2 linked regions of the Styela clava genome follow. The protein of the gene in region 1 binds, or shares a complex with, the protein of each later gene. Links are inferred from orthologs where the notes say so. Each region holds a gene or a part of one and is shown on either strand. Other genes may lie near its edges. The genes, in order: BBSome complex member BBS7-like and BBSome complex member BBS4-like.

The links.
Region 2: BBSome complex member BBS7-like (region 1) and BBSome complex member BBS4-like share a complex: the UniProt entries of both Caenorhabditis elegans proteins name them as parts of the BBSome complex. The link is inferred for Styela clava from reciprocal best matches to the Caenorhabditis elegans genes osm-12 and bbs-4.

The regions. Positions count from the first base shown.
Region 1 is NC_135263.1:9,591,851-9,609,066, forward strand, and holds the start of BBSome complex member BBS7-like, read left to right. Parts: upstream 1-9,690; 5' UTR 9,691-9,811; coding exon 9,812-9,847; intron 9,848-10,095; coding exon 10,096-10,230; intron 10,231-10,300; coding exon 10,301-10,476; intron 10,477-11,068; coding exon 11,069-11,261; intron 11,262-11,900; coding exon 11,901-12,040; intron 12,041-12,588; coding exon 12,589-12,769; intron 12,770-13,051; coding exon 13,052-13,263; intron 13,264-13,818; coding exon 13,819-13,909; intron 13,910-14,763; coding exon 14,764-14,883; intron 14,884-15,230; coding exon 15,231-15,401; intron 15,402-16,086; coding exon 16,087-16,232; intron 16,233-16,936; coding exon 16,937-17,101; intron 17,102-17,216. Other genes in the region: NADPH-dependent diflavin oxidoreductase 1-like, read left to right, coding at 1-16, 452-563, 682-826, 1,072-1,199, 1,533-1,635, 2,438-2,632, 3,042-3,183, 3,768-3,912 and 4 more; coiled-coil domain-containing protein 166-like, read left to right, coding at 8,249-9,136. UniProt on the Caenorhabditis elegans protein: Component of the BBSome complex. The BBSome complex is thought to function as a coat complex required for sorting of specific membrane proteins to the primary cilia.
Region 2 is NC_135260.1:19,650,948-19,667,954, forward strand, and holds the start of BBSome complex member BBS4-like, read right to left. Parts: upstream 7,136-17,007; 5' UTR 7,044-7,135; coding exon 7,017-7,043; intron 6,832-7,016; coding exon 6,753-6,831; intron 4,957-6,752; coding exon 4,877-4,956; intron 4,368-4,876; coding exon 4,192-4,367; intron 4,126-4,191; coding exon 3,996-4,125; intron 3,428-3,995; coding exon 3,307-3,427; intron 3,165-3,306; coding exon 3,034-3,164; intron 988-3,033; coding exon 835-987; intron 292-834; coding exon 120-291; intron 47-119; coding exon 1-46. Other genes in the region: uncharacterized protein LOC120335694, read right to left, coding at 8,781-9,623. UniProt on the Caenorhabditis elegans protein: Component of the BBSome complex. The BBSome complex is thought to function as a coat complex required for sorting of specific membrane proteins to the primary cilia.

The sequences.
Region 1 (17,216 bases):
GTGGGACACATTTCGAGTATTATTAATGAATTTAAGATTTCTTTTCCTATTTGGCGAACATGTTCATGTGATGTTAACAGGGAAAATATATACCAAAGAGATAGTTCATATTTCGTGTCTGGCTTTCGAATACTTCTATATAAAACCCCAAATAGATCATATAACAAGTGAAGTTACTAATCATGTTTTCAATAAACAAACTTCATATTTCATTTCAGACTAACCATAGTTTTAATTTTGTTTGTGTCTGATGTGTTATTTCACGACTTCTTTCGCCATATTGGTATATTCTTAGTAGTGAAAATTGGAAATCGATTTCTCTATTAGTAGTTGTGCAGGAGAAGAAATTTTTTATTCAATTATTTATTTTTTGAAGCCTGCACTCTGTATGATTTTATAATACACACATAAAATATACCTTAATAATATTATGAGATTATTTCACTTGCAGGGCATCTGTAATGGAGCTTGATGCATATTCTATCCAAAACCTAATAGAAGAGGATTTTGTTTTATTTGTCTGTTCTACAACAGGACAAGGTGAAACACCTGATAATATGAAAGTGGGTCTGAAGAATTTGTTGTCTTTCACATTCAGTTATTACCTATGTAAATTAAGCACAGACAAAATTCATTGTTCATAAAAACTTCATTTTTTGATTCCACAATTTTAATTTTTAGAAATTCTGGCGTTTCATTATGAGGAAAAATCTTCCTAATGATAGTTTACAAAAGCTTAGCTATGGAGTGCTTGGGCTCGGTGATTCATCTTATGCAAAGTATAATTTTATAGCAAAAAAAATTGACAGAAGAATTCAACAATTAGGTAAGAAAATGAGCGTAACACATTTTTTGTTATAAATATGAAGGTCTTGATAATCTGTTACGAATAAACGCATATGGAAATAAATGTTTGTCAATTTTGTGATTACAGTACTTGAAAAAGTGTGTATACGTACCCTCTTATTAGCAGTTTAGGTTTAATTTATAGACAGCCATACCCAACCTTATTATCCCCAATTAGTCATATCGTCTTTATTAATAAATTTATTTACCTTTATCTGTTTATAGGTGGTAAGAAACTTGTTGATATTGGACTAGCTGATGATCAGCACGAGTGGGGTGCAGATGCCACTGTTGATCCGTGGGTTACAGGAATGTGGACAAGGTTGCTAGAGATGTATCCACTACCAACTGGGGTAATATCACTTTAGAATAATGAATATATTCATGATTATTCAAAAACAGAACTGTAGTTTATTATAAAAGAAATATATTTCAAGAATACATTTCATGTTCTATTCTATATTATTTCTGTAATTTTGGATTGGAATAAGCAAAGTTTGCTCAGTACTAGAAATATAACATTATGCATTATCATGAAATTGAAGACTCTGAGAGCATATATTGCTGCAGTGAATCCAAAGCATCAGAAATTGACATTTTTGATCTTATGTCATTATGGGCCATGGCCCATCTTTTGTTTTGTTTCCGACTACTTATAATAATGTTATATAGTTTATACATCACAGGTTCTCAATCCATTAGAAGGTTCATTGCCGCCACCAAGATTTGAAATCCATAATGATGATGAGCTTTACTTAATGGAGAAAAAAATCAAAGTCACTGATAAGGGTATGTTTTTTATAGAACATATTTTATATGCCTTTCACTCTGAATAAGCCACCACTGATAGGTAAGAGATACTATAGTTTAGAAAGCCAGGAATCTTTCCAATTTGGCTTTGCCTAGCCAATATATTACATTGAGATGGTGGGTGTGGAAATTAAACCCTAGACCTGTGATGCCAACATAGTCTAGTGGTTCAACCACTAAATCATCACGCCCATAAGAAAAACAAAATCATATCGAAAATGTCTAGATTTCAAAAGGGTTCGAATCCCATGCAGGGATGGTTATGTGCGAGGGGATTGCTGGACTCTTCGCCGTCGTTGGGTGGTTCACGTAACCGCTGGTCGGTTACGGCTTCCTCCACCACCAAGTCCATGCTTCCGAAAACAAACAATATAACTAATCCCATACCCGACTTGGAATGGTAACCGGACGAGAGGCCGTGGTTCGCCATATGGATAAGCCGGCTTTCCTCTCCCCCGGGATAAATATGTAAATCATATCATATCAAAATGAAGTGTGGGGAATTGATATAATTGATAAATCTTTAAAGAGAAAGAGAAGAGAGATTTATTTTTTCCGTCAACCAGAAAAAAACAAGCATTCCAACAATAATAAAAATATACAACAACATACACAAAGTTTTTCGATATAGACTGGGAGGAGCGATACGACCATACAGCCATCAGGGTCAGTTCCCCCAATAAATAACAATAGCAGTTTTATTAGGCGAATTCGCAAACCACTAATATAGAAATAAGATAATAAGAATATGGTGACAAAGAAATACTGTTTTGTTTTAAAGGCTCTTTTTGTCGCAATAATCCATTCCAAGCTGAAGTAAAAAGTAATGTTCGTGTTACACCAGACAATCATTTCCAAAATACAGTTCATGTGGTATTAGATATATCTAAATCTGACGGAAAACTTTCTTATAAACCTGGAGATGTTGTAATGATCAGACCATCCAATACACAGGAAAATGTGAAAAGATTTTTAGGTTGGTTATTGCAAATTATCCAGTTGTTTTTAGGTAAATGCTATGTTGGAAAAAATCAATTTGAAATTTGCTTTGTCTGATATTTTTCTTGAATGCTTTCATTCTTTTTTATGTATTATCTTAAGATGCATATGGTTAATTGTGCCTTTTTGTCATCTAACAAGCATACTTGTATTGAACTCAAAACATGTCCCTCACGCAATTTTATTTGGTGTTCTATCGTTTGAGAACATTTTATCTGATACCGATAGCATATAGGTTAATCTATAGATCAGTGTTCTTCAAACTTTTTCTGCTTGCTGTGTGCGAGTACTGCAACCAAGAAAAATAAATTTTAAGCAATTAGTCTACGACTACAATTAGAAATTTTAATACAAATTATTTTCATTTCATACATTTTTATGTTCAGATACATTTTCTCATTTAAACCCAAATAAAACAATGTTGATCACATCAACTGATGATTCCAGTACTCTTCCTTTCTCTATGAAAAATCCAACTACATTAGAAAAGCTTGCAACCCAATATCTTGATTTCATGTCTGTACCTAGGTAGGTAGAATATAATTTTATACAGATGTATGGGATTCTGAAGTTCATTTTTATCATTTTATTTTAGGATTTTTATCATTTCATGGTATACTTGGTATACTCAACTCCTTGTACTGTACAAAGCTTAGGATTTTGTTCGCTTGTTCTGTTTTGTTGACTTGAGACTGGCAAACATAATTAAAATAATATTGAATCTAAATAAAACAATTTTTCATTTTTGGTGTAAGATGTTAAAAATAAGATTCAGTCAGAACTATAGAGAGATAGTAGCACTTTTTTCATTGGAACACCATTTTTTTCTTTGAATTTAGTTTTTTTTAATTTACTATAGGGTTAAATAAAAGTTACACATTTTAACTTTTTGATATGTACCAGTTGGTTTGCTCATAGTGGGGTTGAGAGCCATCAGCTAAAATGGAAAATAAAATCTAGTAACTAGTACAACTTGCCATTTGTAGATATACATACTTATTTATGCACCTAGTATTATTTAGGTCAAAATAAAATGGTAATGGTTATCATGGAAAGCCATATTATTGCAAATTTATATTTTATTTACCATTCTCATCTTTCTACATTTCTAGACGAAGTTTCTTCCAAATGTTGAAACATTTTGCATCCGATGAGTTGGAAAATGAAAAATTAGTTGAATTTTCAACCCCCGAAGGTACGGATGAAAGATATAGTTATGCAAACAGACCCAGAAGAAACATATTGGAAGTTTTTGAGGTGAAAAATCTAAAGTTGTGCTTGACACTATTTAAATGAATTCAACTGCTGGTAGTTATTTTAATTGTATTAAATATTGTTTTCAATTTCAGGATTTTCACAAGACTGTCAAAAATATTCCATTAGCACGATTGCTCGAGATTATTCCAATGATTCAGCCTAGAGCATTTTCAATTGCATCGTCACCTACTAAACATGTCAATGAAATTCACATTCTCGTGGCAATTGTCAAGTAAGGAAATGAATTTAGATATTTGAAATGTGGTCTTATTTAAACAATCTTCAAATTTCTAGGATTACTAGTTATAGAAAAATTGGGGTAACTGGTTATCTTTTACCACAGTGGTCACCAAAGTGTGGGTCGCGACCCCAAGTTGGGTTGCATTCTACACTGAGCTGACTAGCACTACATAGCAAGTTTGGGTATTCTGAATTACAGTGATATCTTTTATAATAAGGCTATTGTGTGACGGCAATAATTAAATTGTAACACAAAATCTAGAGCATGTGATAGAGTTTTTGGGACCGAGATTTTGCTGTGATTAGTTTTTAGTGGTTTGAAATATTTTTTTCTTTTCCATACCTAGGCGTCACAAGCTTATCATACGTCATAACTTTTGAAATGGGGTCGCGTCTCAAAGTTTGACGACCACTGTTTTACCACATCAGACTGGTTTGGTAACATGGAGAGTAACATTTGTAATTTGTTGTGTGTTTAAGCTCCCTTTACTCTACCTGGATAAAATCCTATCTCTTTACATGATGTTGTTTATCCTCCTATTCACTTCTTTTAGATACAAAACCATGCTTCATATCCCTCGACAAGGCTTATGCTCTACGTGGTTGTCAACTTTGAACCAAGGTTCAAAGGTTCCAATTTGGATTAAAACGGGAGGTATCAGCTTTCCTAATGCATCTAGCAAAGATTTACAACCTAATGGTACTTCCTGCATCATGATTGGACCAGGCACTGGTGTAGCCCCATTTCGAAGTGCAATACATGAACGAGTATGCAATGAAGAGAAAGGTGGGTGATTTTGAACACAGTGCCCACTGTTGATACTGTAATTGGCTTATATCAGTGCTTTTCAACTGGGGTTAGGTGAGTTCTGAGAATTCTGTAGTGTCCGGTTGGGGTTTCTCTTCGAGTTGTGGTTTCTCTCTGTGTCAATTTTCCAATATCTATTAGTTTACCAACTATAAAGAATAAAACCAGAAGTCGTTCGAATAGTGTAGATATGTATAAATATTTCATTGAGCAACATTGAGCCATTTTATCTTCTGTGATGACTTTTCGTTGTCAGAGTGTCCAACACTGAAAAATTTGACTTATATGTTTATGGCTGTTTTGGATAATTGTTAGTAAAGGTTCTGTGATGAGCCCAATAGCATATCGCGGTTCCACAACTATAAAAGGTGGAGAAGCACTGGTTTATAGGTTGGTTTAGACTGAAAATTTCTGAAATACGTAATTGCATTGCATGTAAAATTCCCTTTTTCAGGAAATGTTCTCTTTTTTGGATGTCGGAATAAGGATGCTGATTTTTATTTTCAAGAAGAGTGGAATAGTTTGATTCAAGATAGATGTCTGCAATTATTCACTGCATTTTCAAGAGATCAAGATGAAAAAATTTATGTTCAGCACAGGATAGCGGAACATGGTCAATTACTGTGGGATATTATTAGTAAATGCAATGGAAATATCTATGTAGCAGGGTAGGTATTCTCTATTATAAGTTAATCATTGTTTTAGTCAGTATCAATTTATCTTATCTCTATTATGTTTAGGAATTCAAAAAACATGCCGGATAGTGTCCGAGATGCTTTCTTGAAGATTTTTAAAGAATTTGGAGAGATGACCGAAAAAGAAGCATTTGAATTTTATGAAACTATGCAGAAAAATAAAAAATATCAACAAGAAACATGGTCTTGACACATCTTAATGCGTACTTTTAGCAAATTAATAAATCAATTTTATCATTTTTGCCTGTTTTTATTGTGAACAACTGTCTGTGCACGAAGGTGTAATAATATTAGAAAGCATATACCGTACATTTTTTGATAGATGTGTTCATCCGACCATATAAAACCAGATGTTTCTGTTGGGAAGTTATTTGAATATAGCGATCCATTTTCGGTGATGTTAATGATGCTTTTAGCAAATTAATAAATCATCATATGATAATTTTATCATTTTTGTCTGTTTTCAAAATAAGCAACTGTTTGTGAACAACTGTCTGTGCACGAAGGGGTTATAATATTAGAAAGCAGATACGGTACATTATTTGATAGATGTGTTCATCCGACCATATAAAACCAGATGTTTCTGTTGGGAAGTTATTTGAATATAGCGATCCGTTTTCCGTGATGTTAATGATGCTTTTAGCAAATTAATTAATCATCATATGATGATTTATCATTTTTGTCTGTTTTCAAAATAAGCAACTGTTTGTGAACAAAGGTGTAATAATATTGTAAAGTATATCCACAATATCTTATTGATTCCTCAGCAAGTTGTTTCTGTTAGAAGTTATCCGAATATAGCGATAATGCAGCCATCTCAGATGTACGTTTTGATGGAAGTTTATCAGCTGGCCACTAACTTTTTGTGTAGTTGGGCTCCTGGTGGAATGACATTGAGGCCATTTTAAGATGATGAGCAATGATGTTGCCTGCTGTTTTCGAATTAGGATCAGATTTGTGGCTCAAGCCAGTTCGAACAATTTCATTTGCAACCGAAAGTTCTAGCTCACCCCTGTAAATTTTAGGTAAAAACAGGGTGCGCAACATTCTTTCATTATTGATTAATGGGAAAATAAAACGATACTGTCTAGTTGGTGAGTGGCCGCGTGCTTGAACGTTGCTTACGTTGGTGTTAGTTACGGTATACCGGTACTCGTACTAGGATTACTCTCAGTTTCGTATGACTGTATTTTTTTGTTGTTTTATTCATGTCAAGAAAGTCACAATAATTTAAATTGACGTACTTACCGTTCGAAATCAATCATGCGTATGATGTAACCAAGGTTTTGCTCATCCAAGCATAAAATTTGAAATATTTCGGCAGAAAACAAACCAACATCGCTTTTCATTTTTTGCCTAATTTTCGTTACGCCCTGACGTTCATTACCACAACTGTTTGTAAATTATGAAATACAAGCAGACTTAACTGCTCGTGTAGCGCGCTTTTTCACATCAAAATTGATATCCAGACAGGACAGTAGGACGTTCTAACGCAATTTTCAGATTTCAGCGTCAACGATTCTCTGCAAACTGTGGCACGAGGACGTTAACCGACACGTCCAACCGCGGTGTTTCTGTGTTTTTCCATTATGCAATTTACAATTTTGACCATTCAAGTCTTATTAATAGTTCAAAAGTTGAGCAACCTCGATAGGTTGTGACCCAGTAAGGTGGACATAAACCTATATCATTGGTGGCGAACCTTATTTCTGTATTTCATGAATGAGCCAATCATCATTTTTTTATTGCATGATTCAGTGATTGCTGGATTGTGGAAACTGGGGAAAAAGACAGTGGGTCATAGATATTCATTGAAGCTCGCAAAATTATAAACATGATGTTTCATCTTTTTCACAAGTTTTATAATCCTTGGTTTGTATTGTGTATCTTTGAGCTTCACACATGCCACATTTATAGGTATAGTTATAAGTTCAGAAGTTAGTGGTGATTTATGGTACTCTAGTTTATGACATTGATTTATAAAAACATGGATTCGCATGTGTATAAATTAATCGAAAATCGTTTACAATGCAGTAATACTACAGCAAATCGTCTTATGGGATTGAAAAGATTTTGCAAAGGATTTCAACTCTAGGAGAATTATAATTTTTAATCCAATCACATAAATCCATCCTGTTCAGTTTTTATTTCAGATTGCTATGTTTGTAAATTAGGTCAATAAAATTTTGTTTTCTTGAAGGCATTGTATGCGTGAATTATAAACTGCAGAGTAGTATATAGTTCGAAGTCTTATGCTCTTTTCGTTAATTCTTCACTGTCGCTTTGTGACCCACAAGTCATTGGTGGATGTATAGCCTATCATAATGTTATAACATAAAACATACTAGTATACTAACCTACTACTGTACTATGGTAAATGATCTCAAAACATTTGAATATTAAATTTTTTAATATAGGCTTACTGAGGTCTGGAGGTGTAAGGAATATTGATGCCGCTATTTTCAAATATTCCATACAGTTATCAGTGCATCGGGATATAAAATGCACTGAAATATTTATCAGGCTACTTATCATACTCTCATAACATAATAAATCAATGTATAATTTATTTTCAGAACTAAGATAACATAATATGCCGCCCAAAAAGAAAGGTGGAAAAAAGAAGGGCAAAAAGGCAGCTGCAGATGAAGCACCTGCTGATGATGCAGAAAACGCTAAGGAGCCTACAGGTCCTACTGACAGAGAAGTTTATTTAAAAAAAGAACTGAATCATTTGACTAACGATTTAGAAAGACTTAAAAAGCAGTCAGAGGAACTCAGAAAAGAAAATGAAGTATTACAACAAGAAGCTCAACATACCAGAATTGAAAGCCATGAATACATGTCATACATGGCAAAAAAGACACATAAACGTCAAACAACAATTGTGTCTTTAAGCGATCAAAACCAGAAGGAACTTGAAAAAATAAATTCTCAAAAAGAACAAATGTTATCGGATTATGAAGAGAAAAAGAATAAGTTAAAAGCAACTCTTTTGGAAAAAGAAAGTTTACTCACAAAAGCGAGAAAAGAGTTTCAAGATTTAGGTGAATATCGAGAACTTCGTGAAGATCAGTTGAAAAAAATAAAGCAACTCGAGCGTGAAGTTCTACACATGCGTGGAAAACATTCGGACACAATTCAACAGCTGAAAGCAAAATTTTTGCAGGAAAAGGCAGAATATACTGAAGAGAGTGAAAATAAAATTCAAGCATTAGCTCTGGAAGCTAACAAAAAAGCTGTTCAATGTTTGAACGAACATACAACAAATATAAAGTATGAAAATCGACAACTCAGAGCGGAACTTCTTAATTTAATCAGAAGAAGTCAGGTTTTAAATCAGCATAAACAAGAATTGGAAGAACAGAAAAAGCAGCTACAACGAGAACAACAGTACAGTGAAGATATTCGTAAACTACGTGGCGTGAGACAAAAGAAAGCTCTGGCACAAATGGAAAGAGAAGAACAAGAAAAACAATGAATTCCAAATCGTTAGCAAAAACTTCATATTGAGATATTTTGAAAACCGCTAGTTGAAATTTATTATTAAATATAGGGAAATTGTCACATTCTGTAATTAAAAGATTGTTTCATATATCATTGATAGCTAAATACTCTTTTTAATTTAACCCAGAATTTTTTTTTGTGGTTCCATTTATCATTATTCTCAGTGTTTATAACAACTTTATTGTTGAAATCCAATTCAGTTTCTTTACTGTAATTTTGTGGCGAAATAAATTCATTGTGATATTCTGTGATAACTTTTTGTTGCATTCAATCAGTAGAACACAACTATTCAATAGTTTTCGATATATTTTTATAATTTAGGGAACAAAACCTAGGCATTGATACAGTATAATTTTTAAATTTTATGTCTCCATGTTCTCTTTAGTGTTTGTTCTATAGTATGGCATTATAAGATTTCTAAGGCTTATATATATATACTCATACTTATTTCAGTTTCAAGTCATTTTCAAATATTCCCAGTATTTATGTATTTCACTGTCAACTTATTTTGTTTTAGTTTCATTACATGCTTGTATCATTTAAAGCTTCCTATAATTCCAGTTTATATCACTCACTGTATCTATCAATTTATGACAACTTCGCTGTATTTTTATAGTGTATAAATAATTTATTAGAATATTTTTCACACATGGATTTGGATCTTCACAGGGTGGATTACTTGCAGGTATTTTTTTATTTTGCTTATAGTATTACTCAAGCTGTAACATCGACATAGTCCTTGTAAGCTAACCTCTATGCTGTGAGCTTATTGCATTGAACTATGCTCTTATGTTCTGGGCACTGACTATTAACAGTTGTATTTGACAGAGAATCATCTCGGCTTAATTTAGATAAAATTCCATTTATGATGTCAAAATACCAGATAAATTTATACTTGTCATTGTCAATACTATATGTTTTTTCATATCACAGGTCGCAGTTACCGGAAAAAATTGCATGAAAGTTTTACCCAACAATGAAAAATCAAAAAGAATTTTGCAGAAAGTTGTAGTTGCGGACAAGAGCGGGGTTGTTACTTGTTTTGGATCGAAAAAAAGAGATATTTCTGTAAATAATTTATTTATTATCTTCGGATTGCAAAATAAACAATTTTTTATGGTAAAATCTCATTTTTCAGAATGTTTTCAAGACTTTGCCAGGAGAACCAAACAATTTTCTGGATTTGGGTGGTGCATTAGGAACTCCGCAAGATAAAATATTTGTTGCATCTGGTTCTGTTGTGCACGGCTACTCAAGAAAAGGAAAAAAGTTTCTAGGATTTGACACAAATATTACAGAAAACATAAAGTGCATGTAAGATAATAAATGTTAACTGAGTGACCCAAAATACAAAATCTAGATCAGTTAAAACATATTCTGGAGGGAACATAACTTTTGTGTGAAGCATCCTAGATTAGTAAAACTTTTTGGTAGAATCATACACAAAAAGAATTTCAAATGTTAAATAATGTTTTAATTACCGTAATTGTTGCGATTTATGGGTTCTGTGTTTTGGGTCACCCTGTATATCTAAGGGATAGTTTCTGTATGATATAGAATTTGATTTTATCGAACTTTTATGCTCTATTGTAGCTATGATATAAATGTTCTTTGCAAAATTTTGCTACATATTTTTGTATAAAATATTACAAAGTAAGATCACCTGAGTGACTAAAGCAAAATCACATTTATATACAGAAATAATTGCCTGATGTGGCGTCTTGGCTATCATGATATCACAGGCCAAAGATTTTCAGGTCTTTGTTCAGTTCTAAATCCTCTTCACCCTGTCATTGCAAGACCAGAAATATCTTTATGGTGCTTATAAAATGCCTTGTTTAGATAAAATGTATAGAAAACCTCGTGTTTCTTTTTATGATTTAATTATTTTCAATTTCATTTCTAGTTGTGTGAGCGGAAGTGACCTTCTCATTGCAGGAGAATATATTTACAATCATTTTTGTGATTGCATTGACAAAGGATATTATCTGAGCAGCGATAAAATAAATGATATCATATGTATTCCTGTACTTCGAAAAGAAGGCGACAATTTCACACCAATTCTAGCTTGCAATGACAGATTACTTCGTGTTCTTGATGTAAGATGATCTTACAAGTTTGACGATAATAAAAAATGTGTGCTTTGGATATTTTTTGTTTATCAACTTGAATCTTAAATCTCAACTCAGCATCTTGAATATAGCTTAGAATTTTCATATTTATCCCATGAATAGGAAATTTAATAACAAAACTTAATCATATGGCGAACTACGTCCTACGTCCCGTTACCAGTTCATGTCGATAAAGGAATAAATAACCAGTTATTTGTTTCAGATGCATGGACTTGATAGTAAATAGAGCAATAACTTACCAGCTATCAGCCACCCACATATTATTGATTCTCAAATACCTATTGGCATCAAATATTTATGATGTGCTTTGATAAATTAAGTTTCAGATAAACAAGTTTCAGATAAATTATCTAGCACAAAGCATTAAATAGCATGGATCAAATTGCAGAACATTCCTCAGCAATACATATGTTCACAGTATCTTATGGTTTCATCTGATCAAAATATAGGTGATGTTAAATAACCATCCTCGATATTATTATATTGTCTATCTGTCCACTTTGGAATTGATTACTTTTGCTATTCTCCACCTATTTTGTCTAGACCTCTACATAAAGCTCCCTAGCTTAATTTCATTGTATAATTTCTAAATAAATCTTTATACAGGGCACTGAGCTACGATATGAAATTGAAGTAGCTGGTGTTCCACAATGCATAGTTCCTTACCTTGGTAACGCAGGTGAAGAGGGAAATGAAATAATATATGGGACTGTAGATGGAACGATTGGCCATATTGTCGTTGGCAGGTATGTAGAGCTGAGAGCTGTTGCTAGGGTCTATCAAATGACCATATATCATAAAACCACTATTTTGATCAGTTTAAATTTAAAATTATTACGAGGTTGTTTAGAAAGTCGCCCAGTCCTCCCAAGGACGCTTATTTCAGGTGGGGGTTATGTAGTGCTAAGATTTAACCCTTTTGTACCCCAGTACCCCGGTTTTAAATTTATACCAGCATTGTCCGGCCAAGGCTTTGAGCAATCACTTGAATGTCAAGGTAAAAATATTATACCAATTAGCTTCTGTCTACTTTCCATCTGAGTATATTCTGTATATTGACCGTTTACGTGCTAATTTATCATCCTGTCTGACCTGAATGGTCTATAGACAATATATTAAAACATTTATTCTTATCCCAACCTCAAAATATCACTCTGTGTGTTCTAGTTTGAAGAATGATTTTACAGATCAAGTGAAAAAATGTTCGTACGAAATCAAACAAAACCATGATTAAATCAAATATCAAGCAGACATCAAAATCAAGAAAAATTAATCTTTTACATTTTATTGATAGGGATGAACCCAATCATACATGGGAGCTACCTAATGATAGAAATTTAGGTGGGGTATCCTGCTTGGCACATCATGATATGACTGGGAACGGAACGCCTGATCTTTTGGTGGGAAGAGAAGATGGTACAGTAGAAGTTTATAGTTATGATATTGGCGAAGAACCAACGTTAAGATATTCTCATGTGAGTACACACTTGCTTGACTCAACTAAATTCACAAATTGCCAGAAACTTGATATCGACATGATACTATGAAAAGTAATATGTGATATGCAACTCCTTAGATTTCGTTAGGTATTACCCACTGGCTGCTTGTTGTACATGGCCATGATATGATCAAATTACATAAATAGACATTGTTGTAAAAAGCAAATGGAACTAAGCAGGCATATCTTTGATTTCGTTTTACTTATATAATTACCATAGTTCTTATTAGGTGAAAAACGACTTCATGAAATATTTCAGACATTCAACGAAAGCATTACTGCCATACAAGGAGGCGTCATTGGAGCAACAGGGTTTGATGAAATTGTCTTGCTCACTTATTCCGGTTGGGTAATCGGGTTGACAACAGAACCACCAACTAAACACATTGGATCATCTCGCTCTAAAAGTCTGTCTTCTTCAACAAATGAGCAAGAAGACCAAGAAAATTTACAAAAAATCAATAAAATCAAGTTAGTTTGGTATAAATTTTTAATTTTAATCTACGATCAAACATTGTAATAGAGGGACATTTTTTCATATTTATGTCGATATGTCAACTGAATTTTCAGTAATCCGAGAGTTTCGAGACGAAATGCAGGAATTGAAATTTCGAAAGAAAATTAATTTGAAAATATTACAGAAATAGGTGCTTATTAAGCTGGTATCTAATCATAATTCTGTGCAATTGACGCCAAAATATTTCAATAAATAGTTACAGGAAAATGAAAAATATACATTTTATCAAAACAGTTTATTCAAGTTTGGCCTTTTTGGGGTCAAGCGCTCAACTTGCATCACAACATTTGTGAACTGCTTGTTTGAGGAAGTCCGGCTAGTTGGACCAAATATTACACAATGAAGTTTGAAAGTGTTATACAAGGTTCACTTTTGGGCCTCACAATTTATCCATTTCCATTCTTGCAATGGTGCATAGATACAGATCCATTAGCACAAAAGCACAGAGAAAGGAATTGTAGTTAGACCCACTCTACTTCAATCAATAATCGTATTGTTACATTATTCAGATCAGAAATAGAAGAATTACAAATGAAAGTTGCTTCTGAAAGAGACAAATACAGGAAAAGAGCAACCCAACCTGTTGACAAGAACGAATTGGTGAGATATATTATTTGAAGCATGGCACTAGGTGTATTTTAAAAAAGATTTGTAAATATAATTAGCATTGCAATTTTAATTACTAATTATGGAAAAAGATTAAAGCGTGAAGACACAAGACAGATTTTGGGCCGTTCACAATCACATATTATTCACTTAATATGACCGTGCTGATCAAACCAACACTGAACTATACATATACCGTAAATGCTCGTTTTAACGCCCGGTCTTGATTAAGGGCCCGTTTGAATAGCCGCCCGTGTGAACAGGACATGAAAATAAAGAAGGGCCGGTGCTTGAATACCCGCCCGGTGTAAAAATTTTTTTTTTTTTGAGGATTTGTATCTGCGGTGCGTAGAAAAAGTCTAAATTTTTATTATTCTCGTTTAAATCATACTTGAGAACTGGAAATGACAATATACGGTATTAATTATTGTAACGATCGATCTTATCTACCAGTATTTTTGTGTGTAATTTTACTTTAAAAATAACAAGCGCCCCTGCTTGAATAAGGGCCAGTTTGAATAAGGGCCCGGTTAGTGAGTACTGAGTATGTTTAAAAAAATAAGCGCCCGGGCTATTAAACGAGCTAATACGGTATGCATTGGAATATGGGATCTGTATCATGAATCAAACGTTTATTTAGAATATCGTGTGTGGTTTCCATATGCATGAGCCTTTTTTAAATTTTCTGGAAATGCTCATGACATTGTGATTGTCGGTTTTCATCTGATGCTTGGCCTACCCAATTTATCAAATTCTGTCTTGAGACTTGTACCAGAGATGTGTAACCTGGAATGGCAACGTGTTAAGTGTAGCTTGAATTTCAATACATATTTTTGTTTCCCATCTAGCCAACAATGTCTCGTGCTGCAATATTTCATGTGAAAGATAGGTTTGTTCTATCACCTTCTGATTCAAGTTATAACCTAAGTATTGAAGTCCAAACACCAATCGACCACATAGTATTACAGGTCAGTGAGCTTGATTTTTTATTACTGTAGTTTAATTTAAATAAATTGCTACCAAAATTTAAATGAAACTTGATAGGTAGGTTTTCTTACTATTCAAATTTTTTTTCGATAATATACAGCATATTTATATGTTAAAGAGCTACTTGAGTTTGGAAGAACAGAAATTTGGATTTGAAACCGAAAAATATCTTGCAATCTCGACTTAGTTTAGTCTGATACCGTAAATCACACTCGGCCACTTCGCTTAGATTTCTTCTCTAATATTTACTATATGCAATGTCGACAAACATTTCATTAAAAAAATTATAACTTGCACTATAAGTCATTTTCTACATTATTATTTTTAGAGTGATGTTCCGATAGATATTTTGGACGTTGCTAAAAACTCAGCAGTTGTTTCATATACCCCATGTACATCTGGTCCACCTTCATCTACTGGTGGAAATTATTCTGATGTCAACTCTGGGAATTTTCTGCTTGCTACCTACAGATGCCAGTCTAGCACTACACGACTTGAGGTGAGATTTAATAATAAAGCCTATATATAATATAATATAAAATAATTACTGAGTCATTGCTTTAAAGCAATATAGCTGGTAAAGATTTAAAGCAAAATAGCTGGTAAAGGCTAGGATATGTCACTGCATGGCAGTAAGGAGATAGGCTTTAAGTTCTATATTTCAAAATATAAGGGTAGGATATTTCATATTCATGTGAGTACTATAGGGAGGAAAGGAAGCATGGGAATAGATATCAGGATGGAACATGCACCATCCTACAACAGTGAGGAGTCCAGCCCATTATTGTTTGCAACAGGGCTAAAAACATAGCAGGGTGTGACATTATGTGTGCCTATGTCTTTATAATTCATATACGTCTATAGATATCAAAGTGTCTTAACTCTCGTAACAAGGTGGTCCCCTGAAATATGATGTTGATATATGAATACAATAAACTGTGATATCTTGGTACAGATGTACAGATTTAAATAATTATTGTTGTTTGGGTACACGTTTTGTTAATATTTTGGGTATTTTGAAATGTGTAGGAACGAATTAAAATAATTACCATTGTTTCTTATGGAAAAAAAGTTTTGGTACTTGAACAAATCAGTACTCGAATACCAATCCTGAGCGAATTATGTTAGACTACTGAGGTATCACTGTATTATCAAACCAAAATGCTTTGTTTTTGCTTATTCAGCTAAAAGTTCGATCGATTGAAGGTCAATATGGACTTCTGCGAATGTACATCACACCACAACTTCAACCAAAGACTTGCATTGTTAGAGAATTTGTCATCAAACCTCTTTCACTTCATCAAAGAAGCCATTTCATTGATGATAACAGGTAATATTTTTCTAAATAGTTATCTATTTTCAGTGTTGGCAAAGAGGTGGATGAGCCCAGATTGACATACATTTTATATCAATCCTAGTCTATCTAAACCTGGTGTAATAGTGTAATATTATTAGGCTGTGCTGGATGAAAAGGGTCTATTTTCACAACAGTGGTCAGAGTACCCAAGCATTAGATGTCTCTCTCTTCAATGTTGAGAAGACTTGAGTTACAATTTATCGAAGCCACTCTAATCATGTAATTGAAATGACTTATACCTGTACAGAACTCACCACCAGTGAGACTCAACTCGGTTATCGACTTCGAACTCGAGGTTTAGGGACTTCTACCTGACACTGCCTTCTATTCACTCGAATTTTCTGGTCAGAAACTATCGAAATCCATTTGTTATAGTTAAGGCTACTACATGCAAGATAATATAGGTTCAGTTGTATTTGAGACATCCCAATGTATTGTAATTATTAAATCCCTAATCGTGTTGGTTATGATATAGTAAGAACAACAATATACACAAATAATTGAATGTCTTATATTGCAAAATTTTATACTGTACACTTTATTGATGACCGATAACAAACCCAGAATATCTAGATGTGTTTTTGAATTCAAGTAGGAAAATAAAGACGGTAATGCCATCTCATACAATGGAAAGTGAACTGTCTTGTGGTATAAATTTTCATATTTTTATATCTAAGGCCAATGAATGTGCTTAAATTGACCGGACCATTTAGCTTGGCAGAAATGCATTCATGGGTTGCATACAGCTTACCAGATGTACCAGACAGAACACCAACTGATGATGTTGCCACATTCAGCTTTGTGAATACCTTTTTGGACACTGTTCTTGAATGTACTTACAAGTAAGTGATACTTTCAAACTTTCATACAGATTTTTTGTGTTAATACAACAGAAAACATGAATTAGTGATTCTAACGTATGGACAAAAGTCATGTTTTGAGATGTTATTGGAATCT
Region 2 (17,007 bases), on another chromosome or scaffold:
TATGATTTTCTTGCACTCTCAGTTTGACCAAGGTGATTCAATGAAACTAAAATTGTAATGATAGTTTTGTTAGCAAATATATGATAATTTTGAAAATGTTCGTATTAGTGACTGCATACCTGCAATCAACATGTAAATATCAGCATTTTTCGGCTTCAATCTTAGTGCAGTGCTCGCAAACTGAAACGTGCTTGCATATTGCTGCATCGTTGCATGAAGAAGACTCAAATTATATAAAATTCTCCAATCGAACGGTGCTAGGTATGTTGCTCGCTTTAAACAACTGATAGCCTGTGACAGGAGAAAATTAATAAGGTCAAATAAGGTTCAACCAACAAAATTCAGAATTGTTCGCTCGAACATGACAAGATTAAATCAAATATTTAGTAGAACACTATTACAATGCCTCGTTTTTTCTTTCATGACTTTATAACTAACCAAGATGGTGGCACACTTCACCATTTTTCATTTAGGCTAGAGACATTTGAAATTGTTTGGAGAACAAGGTTTTACATGAAACCTTGCCCTTGATTGGCAGACAGACATTTTGTTTATCTACCATGAAAATCAAATCTGCTGTCGATATGGCAGCATATTAGGCATCTATGAAGCAGGTCATTTGAATGGCAATTGGGATCAACCCTATATCCATTATAACCATCCATCTTGGGAATTAAGAAACTGTGGTCTTGCAGAGTAGGATGGATGCTGATGAAAATCTTCAAAGACGAGTTCCATTGGCATCCCAAATTTCGTTACTAACAATTCAGCAAGACTAGTTTTCAAATTCTAGATACAAGCATATAGTTGGCATTCTCAATCACCAATACTTACGGCAACATATTTCTTTTTTCCGTAAAAGCACATTGCGATGTTATTCCACAGTGCTGCACTTTCAGGAGCTTTTTGAGCAGCAACTCTATATTTAGTCAGAGCTACATCAAAATCACCATGTACTTGCATAAGAGAACCTGCTGCTAATATTGCCTGTAAAACAAGGATAGGATAGGATAGGATTTACATATTTATCCCGAGGGAGAGGAAAGCCGATAAGACGGCTTATCCATATGGCGAACCACGGCCTCTCGTCCGGTTACCATTCCAAGTCGGGTATGGGATTAGTTTTACTGTATTGTTTGTTTTCGGAAGCATGGACTTGGTCGAGGAGGAAGCCGTAACCGACCAGCGGTTACGTGAACCACCCAACGACAGCGAGGGGTCCAGCAATCCTCTCGCATATAACCATCCCTGCATGAGATTCGAACCTGCGAACCCTCGCAGAGTAATTAGAGGTGCGGTGGCGAGCGTATTCCTAACGCTTAGCCCGTTGAGCCACACCGCCGCGCCAGGAAAGTATGCTTCAGTTAATGACAGGGAGAAGAATTTTGAATGCAAATTCAACGCTTGCAATGCTTTTAATTTGAATTCAGTCATGATTTCTATAAGTAATATTTGCAATTTTCACTTTTATTCATGTGCTCAGCATATGTCACCATCACCATAAAGATGTAATTTAGAACACAAACATTCAAATGGCTTTGAGATACCACGAAATACAGGGTGACTCCAAAAAACAGGACCGATACAATATGTTCCTAATGGACTGGGTTCTATTTTTTCGGATCAATCTATATTTATCTTACTCTGATGTTTGTTTGGTACTCCCGAAGTATGTGAACCAAGATGGCGGACACCGGAACGTGGTATAGGCCTGATTACATGTCCACTGGGACCGGTCTAGCAGACTACATATGGAAACTATTTCACGCTTCAGTGGTTCGCCTGCGATTCAAATTCGTGCTATCGGTCAACAACATCACACCACCTATCGAGTAGGTCTGGAAGTGAGCTGCACTGGTTTTGCTCAGTCGCTTTGTCCTGCTACTCGAGAAATCGCAGTTACGTAAGTCGATCGAAGGGGTACCGGTATGAAAGTTGCTTTCTTTTTTATCTCTGGTAAGTGAGTTGCATTTCAACAAATAAAAATTTAGCTAAATAGTGCTAGAAGTTCAATGTAAACCTCTTCCTCATCTACTGTGTCGCTGTTGAACACAAATTTGAATTACCGGTACTTGTACCGGTGGGAACCCAGTGCGGCATGCTTGGTTGTTGTTTTGAAACAGAATTAAATCTTATGTCCAAAGATTTATTGGTATGAATTGAGCGCAATACGACTCTTGTTGATAAACTTCAGTTTCCCATTTCCCAATGAGAAATTTTTTGGAAATTCACCATACAGCGATAACTCATCCCAGTTGGTACCGGTACCCTAACTGTACATACCGGTACAAATTCAATGCTTCAGTGTCGGTAACGTCCCAGTAGTAGGGCGATATTAAATAATGAAAGTGCTTCTATTTGCATGTGATGAGCCCACTTCACACAAAGTGTTCGGTTGATAAACTGTAATTGTTTAAATTTGGTTGCCAGTAGACTACTGGTAACTGTAGGATTACCGTAATTTTTGAATGGATCGTGTGGCATAAGGTGCGAACCTGCATATAATTTTGATATATACTTTAATTAACATTTGTATTGAATTTATTGACAATGAAATATACGCAGTGTTCGCAAATCATGACTTATTTGTTTTAGTCCGGCAGCTCTAAAACTGTTTCTTATCTCGTTGGTTTGGACATGTAATCGAGGGTGCTAAGTGGTCTCCGAGACCACTTCGACATTTCCGAATCGAACCGGTTCGCTGGACTGGTTTTGATGGACATGTAATCAGGCCTTATGTGTACCAGGCTAAAGTTAGGCTATAATTTCAGGTTCGAATACTAAGGGAGTCACTTGGCTAGTACCCCAACTCGTAATAGAGCTAAAATAAGGGCAATTGGAATAAAATTATGACCTAAGCCTAACCTGGTACACATACTACGTTCCAGTGTCAGCAATCTTGGTTCACATACTTCAAGAGTACTGTTTATTTTATATGTGTGATAAACCAAAAAATGTTTGTGTGTATTTCCGCGTAATGTCATATTTACATGATGTAATGATACATAGGATGCAAAAAAACTTAATAAATACCTTATAATTCTCAGGGTCAAATGTCATTGCCTGACCAAGTAATTCAAAAGCTCGGTGGAAGTCTTGCATCCTTAAATATAACAGACCAAGAGTAGTAAGAAGATCTAAGTTTTCTGGAGAAAATTCAATACCTGAAACAGAAAGGCACTCTCAGATAAAAAGACAACTCATGCACAACATCAAATGAGAACAATGTAAGTAAAACACTGAAAATGTTATGCATTAAGAAATGTGTTAAGCCATGGATAAATGAAACATATCGTAACATCTCACCTTTCTTCAAAACTTCTACTGCTTTATCCATTCTACTTGTTTCCAAGTAAAGACGGGCTAACGTTGAATATGTAATGTCATGTTTACTTTGTTTAAGAGCTTCATTGAATGCATCCTCTGCCTAAAATAATAGTCAGAATATAAAACACAAAAATGAATTACTAATCCAGATGAGAATTTGGTGAAGGTAGCCTTCTCTTTTTATTGTACAGTACATTTCAGGGATAACTACAAATATACAATTTCTTTTATCGAAACTTAGCAGATAACTTTGATCAGGTAAGCAGTAGTTATTTATATAAAAATTCAGATTAAATGTACTAGACTTGTTACGTTGTTAGACTTGAGTATTCTTATAGTTCAGGATACAAAAACAACAGGTGAACCGAAATGCTCACACAAGGGATGTTTCCCTAAACATGGTCTTCTTTGTTTATTTCCATAACAATGGCCAATCAACAATAGGTTCAAAGAAATGTAACAATTTAAAATCAAATCATAACACCTTTTAAGTTTCGAGCATGGGTATAAACACTGACTAATTTTTTGCAAGCTTCGGTTTAATTCGACAGTTTCATTAATGCCCCCCCCCCCCCCCCCACAATAGCATTGAAAATTTTCAACAGTAAAACTTCAGAAAAATTTTGAAAGGTTTAGGATCAGGAAAATATCCATTAATAATTAACCACCATATCATATTGTTTCAAATGTAGAAAACAATCTCCTAGTTGTTGAGATATTTCCCAGTCATCGTTGCATGATAAAACTGCTGCTTGTTTGTAACATTCTATAGCATTCTTGTACTTCCCTGTGAGAAACCTGAACATTGAAATAAACAGTTTTAAATCCATAGCAAAACGTAACAATTCTAATCCCAAAACTTACAAATTCTTTGCAACTTGTTTCAAAATTTCAGAACTTTTTGGGTTGATTTTAGCACAAGCTTGTAGAAGTTCTGTTGATTCTGCAATTCTGCCTTCAGTTCTAGCTATCATTCCTTGAACATATAGAGCGTATTCACATTCTCCACCAGTTTCTGCCAACTGCTGTAGTATCAAGTCCTACAAAACCAATATCAATATAATTTTGACACGGTACGGTAATCACTTCTCTCCTGATGATCAGCTTTTAGACATGATATCGCCACAGTACCAAAAGTAACTTATTCAAAAATGGACTTTTTTGAATTTCTGTCATAATGGACCAGGGCCCATCGTTTGGTCTGGTTTTCGAAGCTTTATCTGTTTTGGGTTTGATCCTATGTAGTGTCGCCTTACATCCATTTTTATGTTTGCTCTTAGAACCAAACTAATACAAAAGGGCAATTTTTCAAATTTAACTGTGACATAAGCTAAATGGATCTACTGTGACAATATAGGAGACTGAATATGTAATTTTTTGTCATCTTTTAACCATTGTAAAAGGCGGTCACTTACGTAAATAAATGTAAGTGATTAAAAAAATCAGGTCAGTACTATAACCTTAAGCTAATGTACAGTTCCTTATTTATGACATAAAGCTGACATATACTTGTCTTTTGAGTAAATTATTTTAAAAAAGGATTGAATACCTTTGCAGTGTGAAACTCTTGTCTGATGAAATGTTGATGAATGAGCCAGTTTCTTCTTTCAACAACTGGGAGATCTACAGCTACAATAGAAAAAGTGATTCTTTAGCATAAAATCGGAAATATTAAAACTAATTTGAGAAGCAAATATATTAGGCTAGGTATATTTAAAGTTATTATTTTTTATAGACATATAAACCTCGCAATGAGTTTTAAACCCTTGCACTTCCATACATGACAATCATCAACATACGCATATTAGGCTAGGTATATTTAAAGTTATTATTTTTTATAGACATATAAACCTCGCAATGAGTTTTAAACCCTTGCACTTCCATACATGACAATCATCAACATACGCACAAGGTGACTTGCAGATTTAGGACCGGGAACTTCCAGCTTGAAGGCTACAGTTTCATGAAAATTTCATGTGTGTTGTTACACAAGTTTTTGTTAAATGCTGCAATTCTTAATAATGTGACATCAACAAGTCTGGAAACAGCAAATTTACATTTTGACAATCCGCTATTTATGGTAATTAACATGGATTCAGATTCTGGCCACAGAAACTTGCACATTGGCATGATTTTTAGAGTATATTTTTGGTGTCGTAGTCTCCTGCATAAGCTGTGATGCATTTTGTGATATGGTAAGCAATGCAATAAAATTTTTCATCAACAAATACCGGTATACTACGAACGGATTGGAAGAAAAATGAGTCTAGTTGGCAGTGTAAAGATCCAGTTCCCATTCAAACTTGTTTAGACGTTTCATGTTTGAATATATTTCTTTGTTTTGTTCACTTTTCATTCGAAATACCATAAAAAGAATACCATAATTATGTTTACATTTATCGTTTTGTTCGTTTTTGCAGACAAATGACAACTGAACTATTTTTAGATTTTACATTTTACTTAAAAAAAGTAACAATTCTGGAATTTATTTGGCAAACTTTGGCAGAGAAATAGTTGAAGATATTGCAATGAAGGCTATTCATTCTTTGATAAGAATAATTAAACAAGCGCTGGTGCATGAATCAGTTGTTTACAACTTCTGCCTCTCTTTTGTTTATGTATAAAGGGTAAACATAGGTAGTATTTGATTTTATGACTAGTTTATAATTCCTTAAAATCAGTCCATATGTTTATAACAATAGACAATGAATAGTTAAGGAGGTGTTGGTTTTCGAACAGTTATTAAATTGGAATTCCAGACAACAATTAACAATAGGCTACAGCAATGAGTATCAACATCACCATTAAGCTAGAAAGAAAGCTTATTTGAAACTGTATATACTTGAATATGCAATTCAAGAGTCCTGCTGCGCACTAACACAAATATATTTCTGTAAACGTATATTTCTGTAAACGTTACAGAAATATATTTGTGTTAGTGTGCAGCAGGACTCTTGAATTGCATATTATGGTATCTTATTCCTGCTACAGCATCCTTGCATTACATGCATACGGATCCACTAGCGCAAAGGCATAGAGAAAGGATTGGGAGTTAGTCTCGCGCAACCTCTACTGATCTGTATATACTTGTACTGTTATTAAAAAATTCAAATATTCTAATTCAATCCGATTTGCATCGAAGTGTGATATTGAAATATGACAATATAGATATACCTTTTGCTTTTCCCCATATTATCAGTTCGAATTTCAAATTAAGGAATATTAAACCCACAGCACCACAGTATTATAACAGCAATAATGATTTTTGATGACATCAAATTTTTACACAACTGCATGATAAAAAAAGAAGCAAGACGATGAGAGCAATATTAAATATATCAAAATATTAAACATTTTAAGTTGTCCTGCATTACGGGATGTGTTAAATAATAAAATTCTTTCATGTATATAAGAATATTACTTACGTTTTTTTGTTCGAACTCTAGGTTTTGGAGTAGGAGGCTCTACTGTTACTTCTTCCTGGTTTTCTTTCGGATTTTCGATCTACGACAGGAATGTAAAAAAAATTAATATCAAATTCATAACATTGCAGTAAAATAATCTGACACAAAAGGGAATTTATAATTATGTAGATATGACAATCCACATTTTTTTAACTTCTTTTTAAAATTTATGATGACAAGAATAGAATATCAGTGGCCTCACACAAAAAAATTAAAACCATGTACCTCCTCATTTTCTGTGGATCCGGGCATAATGTATAACACTGATAGCAATTTATGCTAATGTGTTCATATTTGTCTAAATACTATTTTGCTATTAAAATTAAAATAACTATGAATTACCAGTACACATTCACAAGAAAATATATTCATACACAAAAATAATAACATCAGCAAGATCATGTTATTTTATAATAAAATTAAAACCAGATTAAATTATTCTAATTCATCTCAAACAGGGCTGTGGAAGTTTGGCATGTTATTATTGGAGTTGAAGCCATCTCTTCACACTACCTTGAGTCAGAAGTGGAATTTTGAAGGTCATAATTGAAACTCCAAAAAAAGCTAGAGACGAAATTTTCATCATTTTTTTCAAGATTTGTCAGGGTTCTGATTTTTTTTTTAAAACCAGAGTCTGTTTTAATTTAATACAGACTCTAGCACTGGCGTCAGATTAGCCCTTCAATTGAATAAAGCTATAAAAAAAAATAGCCAATAAATTTATATCAATTATTTTGAGATTAAAACAGTGAAAACTCATATATATATAAGTTGCAATTTGAAATAATTGTCATGAATTTAAATTGGGCCTATTTATAAGATATGAGAACCCTTGCATATGTTCATTTTGCTACTATAACCACCACAAAATTGGTTAGGCCACGATTCATACCAAACTCTAACAAAACCAATTCATGATATATCATAATTTTGTTGTGCGATTGAACAATTCAAATTATAACGAGAAATATAAAATAATTATGTACATAATATGTGCAGATATTTTTATCACAGATCATTTAAATGAACTTTATTAAAAAACAAAGCAGCCACAAGAAAGAATGCTAGCATTTATCATTATTATTATTCCGTTTCATGAAAAGCGACTTATTAAACAAACCAAAATCTTTTTTGGGGAAATAGTTTATAATAATAGAGTTGTTTCAAATGTTATTCACATGTTATTTTAAAACTTTTGTGTTTGAGTTATGGCCATTGGCCAGTAATATTCACTGTATAACAACAAAGCATACAGACTCAAACCTGAGCTTTTGCTTACAAGGAGGACACTCAGAACAAAATGGGGAAGTTAACATAATTAATGAGAATATCAATTCAAGATACATCATAAATATCAAGCCTTTTTTTATAAATAACAGTTTTTGAAAATGCAGCATATGGTGGAACACTGTTTACTATGCTTATAAAAGTATATCAACCTCATTACCTCAATGCGAATAAGTGAAGAAACACTACATTATTTATTTTTAGTTCAATATGACTAGTGTACTCAGTTGAATAAAAAACGATAATTAAATTTGTCACAAATCCTAAACAACATAGGTAAAATTACATATGATAAATTGAAGCAAGCAATGTATTTTTGTTTTTGGCACAATACTTAATTACAGTGTTGAACATTGATTTTTAAATAAAAATTTGGCAAAATTACAAAATGAATCTCAATAAAAAATTATAAATAAAGAATTTTTTCATTAATATACTGATATAACTTAATCCTGAGTTAAGTTTATGTTACATTGATTTAAATTGATAGTACAACCTACAAATAAAAGGTAAATTTCAATTTGATAAACATAAAAATTACAATGTTGAATAGGCCTAATGTATAACATGATAACAAGAGAAAAATATATCATATTTACAACTCATGATAAACTCAAGTGAGAAAACATGGCACTCCAGCATGACATAAAATTTCACTTCTAAATATCTAGAATGGGAAAAGATAAAATATAAATCTAGGAATTAGTTTACACCAGCAACTGCAACAGGAGCTGAAAAGCTTCTTTGCTTGAGTTGCAGAGGACGATATGCACGATTACTTGGCATTACAAAGGGTACAGGAAGTAGAAGATTAGAATTTGGTCCTTCAACAAAAAATGAAGTAGTTTTTGGCCTGGCTCGACTTTGTTTATTTGAAGGCTTAAAATCAGAAGTAAATCCAAGTCTACTGACTGGATTGCTTCCAAGTCCATTGCCACGATCATTATCGCTCATAAGAGCACTTTCCACTCGGTTTTGATATGACTGGAAAACCTCATTACGTGCAGCCATAATATCTATTATTTCTGGTTCTATTTCTTCATACAATCGGGATTCCATTGCAAAATCAAGAGGCGATGGCAATGGTCTTGATGGTAAATCAACAGATCGCCGCGTTGAAAATGCTGTTCGAGTGCGAACCGGTGTAGGTCTGGGTTTCTCTCTTACTGTCGCAGATGCAGGATTTGCCACATATTTTCCTTCAAATCCCCTGGTATACTTTCCCATTTCAACAGTCATTGGAAAATTGGTCCATTTTCCTCTGGGTGTTCTTGGACAAAAAGTTCTCTGTGATGGAAATTTGAAATTATTCTGATCTTTTAATGGAATACCTTCTTTGCCTGAAAACCCAGCATTTAAAGAATGCATTTGATATTTTCGAACAACATGTTGCTGATAGTACGAGTCACGACTACCTTTATCGAGTCGAACAGCATGCCCTCGATAAAGCATTCTAGGGAATGCTGCCTTTTTTTCATAAGGTGGAGAATATATTCCATATCCAGGAAACACTCCAGTACGATTAGAATGACTGACAATATCCATCTTTAGAGTCACATTAAGTCATTTGGAGGACTATTCTAATGTGTTGCATTTGTCAGTTAGTAATGGCTGAATGGCACAGAATACTGAAATATTACATCTGTTTTAATAAAAAATAATTCATATAAACAAAGTGATCATTGAATTGGAGGCAATGTACTTAAACGGCGTGTATCCTGAGATAAAATTTATATACAAGCAAACGATAATAGATACCGGTATAAGATTTTGGGACCTACTGAAGTTTGGGACCTGAATTCAGGTTGTGTACCAGGTTGAGGTTCAGGTTATACGACATCTTGGTGCGCATACCGGTACCGTACTTCAGGAGCACCAGATTTTGAATTATTGGAATTCAGCAGCTTGATCATAAGACAGATTTTCCACATACAGATATACCGTAGGGTACCAAATTGCTTAAGCCGCCAAATGTACAACTACAAGCAAGGCAACCGGTACCGGTACAGCGGTACCGGTATGTTCCATTTGTTTCTTTCTAATGGCGTAATTGAAACAGGATATTACGAACAGTGAGGTAGCATTAGAAATAGCGCACAATGAACAATGAGGGTGTATTATTATCGCGTTGGTACACCAAAGTTACCCTAGCAGACATCTCTCAGCAGATATCTCTCTCGTTTTCGGAACGGTGAAATAGGGTTGCCAGAAATCGATTTAACATTGCGTATAAAACGCGCTGCGGAAATATGAATGCTGGGTGAAATTCAGTTGCCAGATTTATGCCCTATTATAATCACCGTATTCCACGTAAACTTTCGTACTTTTCAATGGCCGGCCACATTAATAAAAGTGATAAAAAGGAAAACACATAATACCATCATCTCGATCAAAGTTTAATGAACTTTGTATGTCGGAAAAATGATATGATTTCTTGTCAAACATGGCCCAAACAAGAATTATACATCGAAATCACTAAATATCGGTATTACACCCAAAAATACTGCACTTTCCGACGACGTGCCCCACTTTTAGATAAGATATCCCAAAAGAGCATATTGTAAAGTCATCTCGAACTGAGTTTCATGAAATTTGTATGGGGGGAAGATATAATGATATCTTCTCAAACATGGCCCAAACAACAATTTTACATCGAAATCACTAAATATCGGTATTAAACCCAAAAATACTGCATTTTCCGATGACGTGCCCCACTTTTAGATAAGATATCTCAAAAGAGCATATTGTAAAGTCATCTCGATCCGAGTTTTATAAAATTTGTATGGGGGGAACATATAATAATATCTCCTCAAACATGGCCCAAACAAGAATTTTACATCGAAATCACTAAATATCGGTTTTAAACCCAAAAATTCTGCACTTTTCGATTACGTGCCCCACTTTTAGATAAGATATCTCAAAAGAGCATATTGTAAAGTCATCTCGATCCAAGTTTTATAAAATTTGTATGGGGGGAACATATAATAATATCTTCTCAAACATGGCCCAAACAAGAATTTTACATCGAAATCACTAAATATCGGTATTAAACCAAAAAATTCTGCACTTTTCGATTACGTGCCCCACTTTTAGATAAGATATCTCAACTGAGTATATTGTGAAGTCATCTCGAACTAAGTTTCATAAAATTTGTATGGGGGGAACATATAATAACATCTTCTCAAGCATGGCCCAAACAAGAATTTTACATCGAAATCACTAAATATTGGTATTAAACCCAAAAATTCTGCACTTTTCGATTACGTGCCCTACTTTTAGATAAGATATCTCAAAAGAGCATATTGTAAAGTCATCTCGAACTAAGTTTCATAAAATTTGTATGGGGGGAACATATAATAATATCTTTTCAAACATGGCCCAAACAAGAATTTTAATATAGGTGGTCTCTCCGTCGCCTTCATCTCCGTTTTCGCTTTCGTCAATTTGTTTGCCGGGCGGCCAACTACGACATGGCGTGGCGGAGATTTTGGGGACGGAGTCGTTTTCCGGCGTGGATTATCTTTTGTTGGCTCTGGGGACCAACGATGTTGCAGGATCTGTTGGCTGGGGCAAACAATCCCGAGTATACGCCGAGAAGCTGGTCGAAGCCAGCAAGCAGGCTTATCCGGGAGCCAAGGTTTGTTCCACAACTATATCTGGTCCAGTCCAGGTATATTTCTGTAAATAAAAAAAATTTGTTGTTTCAATTTGATCCAAGTGATAAACTTTTTAGTACTTTTTTCTCGGCATCGTACCAGAGCAGTGATTGATGGAGCCTAATCATAAAATATAGATATTTTTTGGATGTACAAATCCACTTAATATTTGTCGGGTTGACAGCCAATGTAAGAGAATACATGCTTCATTTTCAGATACTGTTATCGAAGATATTGTCCCAGTCAAAATGTTCCACTGCTGCAGCCAATAGGGACATGGATGCGATTGCCAAGCTGCACTCTATACCTCTTCTGGATCTTGACGTTGGCAGAAATCCTTCGTATTGGAGCGACCATTTACATCTGTCGGATCGTGGTTTGGCGAGATACATGCAGATTCTCGAGTCCGTAGTAGCAAGAATTGTACGAAAAGGTGGGACGTTTATGGTGTCATTATTTTTGAAAAACGCAACATTCAGGGTATACGCTTAAAAAAATTGTTATTACTATATATATATTCAACTTCCCACCTTTTCCCTGTATTTGCTGTTAGCTTTTGACATGTACATACAAGAAATCACTTTTTTTCAATTTCGGTTGAGATGTGTTTCATGTATTCTATGTCAAAAATCTTGAAATGACCTAAAATTCACCAAAAAAATTAAAATTATTTAATTAAAATTATTTTTAAAAAACAAATCTTCTTTTTATCAATTCAGGTTATTTTAGTCACTAAAAAGTTATTCAAAATGAGCTTGCATTAATTCTTCGAAATTTTACACATAAAACAAAAGAAACATATCTTTGAAATATCAAAATAATAAAAAATAGCACAAGCCTGCAATTATACTGAAAGTATAATTTTGGGGAAATAGCCCCTATTTTTTAAATACAAAATTAAAAAAATATTGTTCGTTTTCTCCAGTTTTTGTGGCGTAATGAATCAAAAAATATTTATTAGAAGCCGGTAACAAAATGAGTTTTACACAGTGTAATGTATTGAAATTATAATGATGATTCGTGCAAATGTTAACATATGCTAACAAAAATTATTTTTAGACAAAACTCCCGAATCTACACAAATAACTACTGGAAGCATATTATGTAAGTATGACTCTTGCTTGTTTTTGAAGAATGATTTCCCCGCTGTAGGTTTTTCTGTTGGAACTGGGACAAAATTAATCCCTACTTCTAGTAGATCGATTTCTCGACGAAGGAAAAGGATCATCTGGAAGCCCTTCCTCCTCGACTCTGTTTCATCCTTCAGCACTCAGCCCCACCCACCCCTCGTATCTTTGGTGTTCTATGCCAGTGTGGTTGTTCGGCCAAAAACTTCAGTTTCTTTGCAACCTGCGCCATGTTTGCGTCCCTCTCATTCCCGACCATCTTACGCCGAAAGGTCTCTACGGCCTCATCTTTCACTACTTCTGTCGTTTCTACTGGGGCTATTTCTGATATTACTATGCTGCACGGGAATGAACAGCCAAAACATACTAGCAGGTCTTTTTTTTCTCCTCCTCCCTCTTTTAGTAGATCTGATAAAGTCAAAAGTAATTGTCCCATTCCACGGAAGAAGTTACAGAGATCATCTTCGCCTGATAAAAATGCTTACCCTTCTTTAATTTATAAACAGTCGGGCGGTGTGTTTTCCGAAAACAAATTGTCAACTCAGTCGTTGGTAACTGCAATAAATGATATGGGATCATTTAATCCAAATTCCCAAGCAGCCTGGAGCAAATTAGCAAAACTAATTTGGAACAAAAAATTTGCCAAAGGTGAATTGAAAAATTATATTCGAAAATTGCAACATTTTTGGAACAATAACTCAAAAACACTGAAAATCAATGAAAATTCATTTCCTGACACATCAGGCGATGAAGGATTTAAAAATACCAAAAGGGATGACCATTCTTCTGATTTTCATTCTGAAATTAAAATTAGCAATTCGACTACCAAAATTTGTCACAAAGAAAACACACCGCCTACGTCCCTGAAAGAGAGCTGTGCTAACAAATTGAAGCAGGTTAGTAACAATTCATACATATTTTTAGACGCGCATGGAACTGATTTTGATGATAAGGTGCGCAAACCTCAGTGCAAGCACATGGTATTTGGGAACGTGAAAATCCAATAAAAAATGCAAAATTTAAAATGGACACCAGGAATTGGAACAGTCTTTTCAACTCCGTTGCTGGGCAAAAAATAAAAAATTCTAATTGGGCTGATGTTTTTAGAGAAGCTATCAAAGAGAGTGACCCTTACTGTTCATATGCATTTCGATGGCACACAGTAAATTCTGGAATATTGGCTAATCGTATTTTTGCTTGCAGTGGGCATTGTTGCTTCACAGGTTGCAGTCGCAAAATTTCTGTAGTATCCTATCGCAGAGACCTCCGCATGTTCCATGTTAGGTATTCGGGAAATAGGTATCACGTTGGTATTAAATCAATCCGACTTAAGGGAAAACGGCGGAAGGAATTGAAAGGAAAATTGATTCATTCTCTTCCTCGTAATATGTATTTGAAAAAAATTGGTGCGCTCTCTTCCGATGTTTTTCATTCTGGTAATAGGGACGATGCTCCGTCACAGGCTGTATCAAAAAAGGCGCGATATGAGGCTAGAATGGTAAATGTCCCAGATTTCGATAATCAATGGAATTCGCTTGACTGTTTAAGAAAATTTCAGGCCGAAAAATGCAATAATAAGTTAATTCGTGGAACCTTGCAGCAAATTTCACGAGTTCCACCAGGTATTATGTTGTGGTCGGAACAGTCTGTAAGAATATTTATCCATAATGCTCAAAATGACATAATTTATATTGACGCTACTGGTGGGATACTTCCTTCCGGTGCCCAAAGTCCATATTACATTTACGAAATAGAAAATCGCCATCCCCAAAAGGGCAAGTCCCCATTTGCTGTTGCAACGTTTGTTACGAATCGGCACAACATTGCAAATATTTCGAACTTTTTGTCACAATTTCGTTCTGATGTTTCGAAATTGACCAAACGATTTCCCGCAAAGGCTTTTATATGTGATGGTAGTATGGCCCTCATCAAATCAATAATTCAAGTAATAATGCGCGAAATTCTTGAGGCCTACATATCGCGCTGTTATTCGGTCATTCAAGGCAGTGCGAATTTGGATATGCTTTCCCGACTCTTTCTTCACCTATGCACCAGCCATACCATGAAAAATTTTAAGCAATTAGCTTGTAGGGTTCCAAAAGTAAAACGTGAACTCATGTATATATTTGGGTTGCTTGTTTGCTGCAAATGAAATGAAAAAACTTCGTAAAATCGTTTACCATTTGACAATAATATTAATAGCCCTGAATTCAAATCTTGTTGCTAATAGCTGGTCTTACTTGAAAAAGCGTATCGAAAAACAAGATATTCTATCCCCACCCGAATGTGTTTTCAATCAGGATGCATCTGATGAACTTCTACCAGATGCAGACTGGAGTGAGAGGAATCCTTTTACCGAATTACTATATCTGGATATTGCTAGAGCTACAAAATTGCTACTGACGCTGGTTTATGTGGTTCAAACTGTTTTTATTGCCCGGAAGTAATGACTAAATTTAAAACATTTTATGTGCCCAAAATTTGTTTGTGGGGAGCTTTGCTAGTAGGTGATTTGGGCAGGTATGGTAAAACAATAGGCTATGAAAAGTATAGACAATTTTACGCTAAATCCTCGGTCTCTAACAAACTGAACTTAGCAAAAGATAATCGAACGCAGGGAATAATGGAGAAAAGTCAACAGGAACTTAAGCGTACTCGTTTTAACAACAGGCGGTTTAAACGTCTTGACGAGATCGCTGTAGTGTATGATCAACTTCATGATTCCCTAATTAGGGAATATCAGGATAATTTGATTGTACGTCCAAAAAAGTCGAAAACAGAGACCAAATTGACCAAGAAATTGAGAAATGGGGTAAAAGATGTAGAAATCAGGGTAGTGATAAATCGAAAGGTATCTATTTACAGCCACCGTCTAGACCTCTGAGAGCTTCTCGCCCAATAGAATTGCCTGATAAAGATATATTGAAAACGGACATCACTTCTGAGGCGTCTTCTCAATCAATGGCGTTACGATTTAGTTCACCCCAAATTGATTTCCGAAACTTGGTGCATAAGTCCAAAATTGACTTTGAAATATTGAGCTCCAATACTAATTTCCGAAAGCATTGGTTCACATCGGACATTGTGAATACCGCATCGCTAATTTTGTCATCGCAGTACCCAAATGCTGACGGCCTCCAAAGCACGACACTTTATACCACGATATCTGGTCCAAAAGTCTACGCTCCGTTCAGAAAATACATTCAAATTCTGTTCGTGCATGATAATCACTGGGTAGCTGCGTCTAGCATATTTTCGTTCAATCAGAATATCATTCAAATCTATGATAGTTCGTACATGAAATACACGGAAAAAGACGAATATGTCATTTCGCTTCTCATGCGACCAACATTAGGAACAAACAAACTACAGATTGAATTTCCTCCCGTCCAGCAACAAACGTTAGGTGCATCATGCGGACCATTTGCAATGAGTTTTTGCATAGCTCTCTGCGAAAGAATTAGACCAGAGGATATAGTTTTTGATGAAAAATATCTGCGAAACAAAATTCATGATGGTATAAGTTCTGAACGATTTTTACCAAATTTTGACATCGATCGAAACCACAATAAAGCTAATACGAAATTTACAGATATTCAGATTTTTTGCAACTGCCGACTGCCCTACATACAAAATCAGACTATGGTAGAATGCACTTCATGTTTGGAATGGTACCACCCGAAATGTTGCAATACTCCGGTGCCAACTGAGGCAACTGAATTGAATGGAATTGCGAGAAGTGCAATCGAAGCTGAATTTTTTCACCACATGCCTAAAACTCTAATTATTTTCCAGATCCACCGGCTTCATAGACACGCAAATGATCAGTCTGGTTTACCTTTTGCAATTATGCCAAAGTTAGGGGTTTTCTCTCTCGATCGTCGCCAGTTTGAGATGAAAACCACCACGATGGTTGGCACCTTGACGTGGTGTGGTGGCTTACTACTAAGACCAACCTTCTTAAAATGTTGACGATCGGGCCAGTTTTAAGCGAGAAAAAATATACAATTTTACATTAATCCCCCCATACAATTTTTACGAAACTTGGTTCGAGATGACTTCATAAAATGCTCTTTTGGGATATCTTATCTAAAAGTGGGGCACGTAATCGAAAAGTGCAGAATATTTGGGTTTAATACCGATATT